Linked DNA regions of Sus scrofa. The protein of the gene in region 1 interacts with the protein of each later gene in a pairwise test. Links are inferred from orthologs where the notes say so. Each region holds a gene or a part of one and is shown on either strand. Other genes may lie near its edges.

Evidence for each region.
Region 2: the proteins of FATE1 (region 1) and SLC7A1 interact in binary tests that used the Homo sapiens proteins (3 or more experiments, as listed by UniProt). The two-hybrid records come from large-scale screens. The link is inferred for Sus scrofa from reciprocal best matches to the Homo sapiens genes FATE1 and SLC7A1.

The regions. Positions count from the first base shown.
Region 1 is NC_010461.5:123,111,314-123,113,760, reverse strand, and holds the end of FATE1 (fetal and adult testis-expressed transcript protein homolog), read right to left. Parts: intron 2,201-2,447; coding exon 2,118-2,200; intron 1,866-2,117; coding exon 1,787-1,865; intron 1,095-1,786; coding exon 963-1,094; 3' UTR 583-962; downstream 1-582. UniProt on the Homo sapiens protein: Involved in the regulation of endoplasmic reticulum (ER)-mitochondria coupling. Negatively regulates the ER-mitochondria distance and Ca(2+) transfer from ER to mitochondria possibly implicating it in the regulation of apoptosis.
Region 2 is NC_010453.5:6,549,144-6,552,793, reverse strand, and holds part of SLC7A1 (high affinity cationic amino acid transporter 1), read left to right. Parts: intron 1-1,704; coding exon 1,705-1,826; intron 1,827-2,298; coding exon 2,299-2,521; intron 2,522-3,141; coding exon 3,142-3,281; intron 3,282-3,650. UniProt on the Homo sapiens protein: High-affinity, low capacity permease involved in the transport of the cationic amino acids (arginine, lysine and ornithine) in non-hepatic tissues.

The DNA.
Region 1 (2,447 bases):
TCCCTGGGGCCCAGGGGGAGGGCAGAACTCTTCTGAAGGCCTCCTGCAGCCAGAACTCAAGCAGTGACACTTCTGCCCTCTCAGGCCAAGCCCCAATTCTCTACCCAGCAACGCCCCCCTGCCCTCCCCGTGCACGAGGGGCATGTTACAGGGCTGTGACACGAGGCGGAGGGGTGGGGGTGGGGGGGTCAAAGCCCCTCCTTGTGGGCCCCCATGCAACCTCCAGGGCTGAGTCAGAGCCTCAGCCAGTCTCAGGAGAAGCCCTCCTAGCCCCAGCCCGGCCTTAGTCTTGCTGAATGAGCCCAGGGCTGCGTTCCCCTTCCCTGGGACTCCATTTCCTCCTGAGCAAATGGCAACATTTCTGGTCCTGCCCAGGACATTTCCTCTGATTGAGTCCTTGCATCGCCTGACCTGGACAGGCTGCCGCAGAGTGGCTTCCCCACAGGCCAGAGCCTGCCCCCAAGGCGCACCCCCCACTCTGCCCCACAGGGATGAGGATGGTGCAGGAAGGGGCACCAGGGTCTTTGTCTGGATAGGCTGTCCCCACGTGAGTCCTGGGTGCAAGAAGCTCAGCCACCAGGGTTTGCTGCTATCACTAAACTTTTATTAAGAACATTCTCTGTGCAGAGCCCAATGCATGACATTGAAGAAAACAGGGACGACACAGCCAAGCCCCTGCCAAGGATGGAACAGAAGGGACACCGAGGGCCCCCAGGCAAGATGTGGCTCCAAGACGGTCACCGTGGAGCCCTGACAGGCAGGTAGGAAGCACCTACCCCTGGTGTTCCTGAGGCAATTGGATGCCACCCTCCTTGCCCTCCACGGGGGCTGCCTCTCAGCCCCCTCGGACCTTCCTCCACCTCCCAGCTGCTGCTGAAGGGTGGGGAGGAGACGGCAGGGGTGGCCGAGGGAAGGAAGGGGAGGAGGGGAGGGCTCCATGTGCAGGTGGCCTGCGTGAAGCATCACTGGCGCAGCCACAGCCAGAGGTTGGCAACGCAGACGGATACCAGCATGGTGAAGAAGAGGGTCTCCCTGTGGCGCCAGGTGGCGCCCTGGTCCTCCAGGGCCCGCAGCCGCCCGGTGATCACTTGCAGCTGCCAAGAGACCAGAGCTGGCAGGTGAGCAAGGCCATTCCGGGGAAGCCTGCGCACACCGGCGGGGGGAAGAAGTGTGACCTCAGAGCAGGAAGGGGGTCTGGACCAGAAGGAGGCCGGGCAGCTGAGGCCAGGGTGTAGGGTGGGCCCCGCCGCCTCGCCCCCACTTTGGGGACCTTCCTCTTGTCTGGAAGAAGCCAGCCCATCCCAGCTGTGCCACCGCAGAGTGAGGGCCATAGGATGAGGTGACACTTAGGGGCCAGAGAGGGGCTGCCAGGGAAGTTGTCCCCCAGGCCCGTGCCCCTGCCTGTTGGGGTCGCTTCCTGAGAAGACGCGGGCTTGGTCTGAAGGAAGGTGACCCCTCACTCAGATGTCTTGGCATGGCTCTTTCAGCACCAGTTTCTCCTGTGCCCCCATGTCCTCTCTTCCCCCCCCTCACGCCCCCCCTTCTTCCTTCCAGCATCTCGGGGAGAGACACAGGGTTGGGGCTGGGCATCAGGATAGATACGGGAGCCAAGGGGACTGGGGGGAGGGAAGGGCGACCTGGATGTCACCGTCACCTCCACCGCTAGAGGATAATGCGACTGGCAAGGCTGAGCATCGCCAAGGCGGGTGTCGAGGCCCCGCCTGCCCCAGGGCACTGGGCCTCGGCCTCCACCCTCCGCGTGGCTCCCCGGCAATCCGACGCTCACCTGTCTTCTCATGATTTCCATCTCCAGCCCGTTTAGCTCCTCCAGGCCAATCTCAGCGATCACGTCTGCCCCCAGGTTGCTGGGAAAAAAGACAAGAGTGAGAGTCAGAGCTCCTGGGAGACCCCCATCGATCGGGTCCTTCCCCCCCTGGTAAGCAGGTCCTGGGGCCTGAAGACTGGGAGCGGCCCAGTCGCAGGGGCCCCAAGCAAGCCAGGGGCCAGGAGGCAACGGAGCCCGAGCCCCGCTGGCACGGCCAGCTGCTCACGCTCCCCCCTGGCCAGCCTGCCTGCCAGCCCCTGTGGCCCAGCCTTGTCCCTGGGACCCTTCTTACCGCTCGTAAAGGAACCCCATGCCTTGGAAGCCGCCCTCCTGGTTTGGTTCTTGGGACGCTTTCTTTGGTGGCAGCTGGGGCCCCTAGAGAAAGGAACGGTCAGGCAGAGCAGCCTGGACAGAGGGCCCAGCGGAGCAGTTGCCCCGCACTCTGTCCAGGACCCACTGGAAGTGCTTGGGAACCCCACGAGGTGGCCGCCGGCCACACCCCGCATGGACCACGCTCCTCAAGAGCTCTTGGCCACCCAGGCTATGATGAAAGAAGAGCAGTGACGGTGTCCCTGCCCTCTGCCAGCACTGTCACATGCAGACACCGGCTGATCTGAGCAAT
Region 2 (3,650 bases), on another chromosome or scaffold:
CCTCATCCTCCCGCCCCGTGGGTAATTGGTTTTGTTAGTTTTGTGTGTGCGCTTCAGCTTTTGTTGAAGCGCAGGCAGTTGCGGGTGTGTCTTTATGTTTATTTTGAATAGTGCATGTGTACTGTGTATGGGGTTTCCCTCTCCTTACATAAAAAGTAGCGTCGCACAGCCACTTGCTCACCACACCTGGTCACGCACCTGCGAATTCTGCAGACCTGCTCGTGTCAGGAGCTCGGCCTTTGTCACAGGTGCCTGAAGTCCCAGCCCCTGAGCCTAGCGGTGGTTTTGAGGGGACCCAGTGGCAGAGCTGGCTCGCAGTTCATGGAGAGCAGAGGGACACCCTTCCCTGTCCCTCGCGGTCCTTCTGCTCCGCCGCTGTCTGACTCCTCCCCGTCCCTGCGCTGAGGAGCCCAGAGGCCGCTTTCTGCCTCCTCGCCCTCTGCCGTCCCCGTGCTTGTCTGTCCTGTGTCTCCATCCGCGTGATGGGGGCGCGTCCAGCCCTCGTCCTCTCCCCAGTCCCGTCTCTCCCTGGGGTTTAATGAGTGTGCTGGACCACCCCTTCTTCCTCCCTGAAAATGGGGTTCCCAGAACCTCTCCAGGTGCTTCTGCCTGGAGGTGGTTTAAAGCAGACCCTGGGGTTCACGCTCTGACCCACGGCTGTTCCCAGCCCTTGATGCCGGGGGCATCTGCAGCCCTTCCGTACCTGTCCGTCTGTCTGTCTGTCCGGCTGGCAGCGACAGGGGCCCTGGGCATAGACCCGTGTCCTTCCATTAGTGTTCGGGTGCTGAAAGGGTCTGCTGGGAGCCCCCTGGGGACCCCGCCCCCTTTGGTCTTCCCATCCCCCCCTTCCCGCGCTGGCTGCCTGTCAAGTGTTTTGTTTTAAGCTTCAGCCACTTTTCACAATAGTGGTCAGCTCTCCGGAGTGCTCTGCACGCTTAGTGATGGGCAGACCTGGGGGGTGCGGGGCTGCCTGTGGGCAGCTGGGGGCGGGAGGACGCAGCCCTGCCCTGCGTCCTGTGCCTGGCTGACTTACCGGTCCCGCCTTTGTACCCGGCTGTGGGTGTGTTTTAGTCATACTTTAAATGGACACACTTCGTGTCAGCCTGGCAGTGGTTTTTCCTGCGTCTGGCATGCATGCGTTTCTTGCACTTGCTACAGGGAGGCCCATGTTTGAGAAAATCCCCAAGCCCTGGCTTTCCGGGGCTGTTTCTGAAACTGAGAAGTGTGCTCGTCATTTAGGAGTTGGGGTAAGGCTCCCCGACTAGAACATAGCCGGGTCCAGTGTGTCTGTTCCACTGGCCAGTCCGTGAATCCCGAGGACAGTGGCTTGGAGCGGTGAGCTGCTGGCAGCCCTGAGAACACCCGTGCTTGCCGACGTGGGGCAGGGCTGTGCCCTGAGGACCCTCTTTCTTTGCGGGTCCTAGGGAGGGGCCTCTGGTGTGGGTCCCTCTCCTCTCCCGCTGGGCACCTGCCTCGCGATCCCTGTCCCCAGTCGGTGTTTAGCAGGTGCTTCTGGGAAGGGCTTCATGCGCAGGGCTTCCTCCTGCCCAGGCGTGAGTGGTTGTGACAACTTCCCCAGGACCGGTCGCTGAGGGTGGGAGTCCTGGCCACAGGAGTGGCTGTCGGGTGGGGTGCTGCCTGGGGTGGCCCCTCATCGGGGCCCCAAGTGGGTGCTGTGATCTTGACTGTGGCTCTTTGTTCCAGTGCCACGAAGGTGGGGAAGCCAGGCGTCGGTGGGTTCATGCCCTTCGGGTTCTCTGGCGTGCTGTCAGGGGCAGCCACCTGCTTCTATGCCTTCGTGGGCTTTGACTGCATCGCTACCACAGGTACGCCCGCCCTTGGCTCCCCTGGGCACACCTGGGCTCACCTGGCCGCGGCCGCTCTCTCCCTTCCTGGGGGCGTGTGTCTCCCTCCCGAGAACCGTGTGGGTGTGTAGCTTCCTGCTCACCCGCCCCCGGCACCTCCCCACGTGCTGGGCCCTGGCCTCGAGCCCGGATGCTGACGTCGCAGCTGTAGCTGACTGCATATCTGCCTCCTCCCCGTCCCCCACCCGGGAGAAAAGGGGCCACCAGCGCTGTCATCGTGGCAGATTGAACAGCCCTTCCTGGGCTTCCCACATTGTCTCTGCCAGAGGAGACGGCCTGTCCTTGCTGAGCCACAGTGGGAAGGCCGAGAAGGCCGTCTGTCCCGGGCACCGTGTGCTCTGGTCCTCAGTGCTGAGGGCGCCCCCTCCCTCCCCCGAGCCAGGAAGGCCCCAGCCCCCTCCCGCCAGTACCCCCTGACCCTTCCTTCTTCCAGGGGAGGAGGTCAAGAACCCCCAGAAGGCCATCCCCGTGGGCATCGTCGCCTCACTCCTGATCTGCTTCATCGCCTACTTCGGGGTGTCGGCCGCCCTCACGCTCATGATGCCCTACTTCTGCCTGGACAAGGACAGCCCCCTGCCCGACGCCTTCAAGCACGTGGGCTGGGATGGTGCCAAGTACGCCGTGGCTGTGGGCTCCCTCTGCGCCCTCTCCACCAGGTGAGGAGCCGGGCTCCCGGGGGTGTGGGTTTGCTGCAAGCATCCCTCTCCTCCCTGGAGAGAGAGCTGCACCCCCCGACCCTGGCTGTGGCTTCTCCCCCTGTCGCTGCTGTCAGCCACCCCAAGGGCTGTTGTGCTCCTGACATTTCATCGCGAAGAACCCAAGCCCCATGTTTTAGCACCTTCTGCTCAGCAAGGGCCTGGCCGTCTGCCCCCCGACCATGGCCACTGGCTCAGGCCCCCTCTGTGGCCCCCAGTTTGAAAAAGGGAGCCAGTGGCTTTTGAGGAGAAACAGTTTGCCCTGCTCGCTCCTGCTGGCCTGGACGCACAGAAATGTGTGCAGGACCTCGGCTGACCGCAGAGAGGTCCCCTCAAGTGCAGCAGCGATGCTCTGATTTTCTCTTTGATTCAGCTAGAAATAATCAGTTTCTCTTCCAAAAAGTTACATCCTGATGCCCCGCTGGTTCACGGTAGACCTTTCCTGGTCCTGCACTTAACACAGACCTGCAGTGAGTGCTTTTCCTGGCGTGCTGCTGAGCCCAGGCCTCTGGCCGCTGCCGGGTGCTGCCTTGACTGCCGGTGGGCGATTGTGCAGATGCGTTTCGCTTCCTCCCATCCAGCCTTTTAGGCTCCATGTTCCCCATGCCGCGAGTTATCTATGCCATGGCTGAAGACGGGCTGCTGTTTAAGTTTTTGGCCAAGATCAACGACCGGACCAAAACACCAATAATCGCCACGTTAGCCTCGGGCGCCATTGCCGGTAAGAACTGGAGCTCGTTTCACACGCCGGTATTTTAACGGTGGAGCAGTTATTTCCTGGGGAAATACCTTGAATGGTGCTGGTCTCTAAGGAGTTATAGCTGGTCTTTTTAACATTTGTTTTTCACCCTTGGAATGTGGCTTATTACAAGGTAACTAATTCCCTTTTGATAAAAGGCAGAGAGGCCAGGTTTACAGAGGGTGTGATGGAATTCTGGAAATGTTTGAGTTTTTCAGTGATTATCATCTCGTTGGGCAGAGCTCAGAATACACACTGTCCCTTCAAAGCCCCACGTCACTTCTCTTGGGAAGTGAGTGTCTCTTACAATCAACGTTTTATGAAACATGCCACCTCTTCCCCAGGGGACGT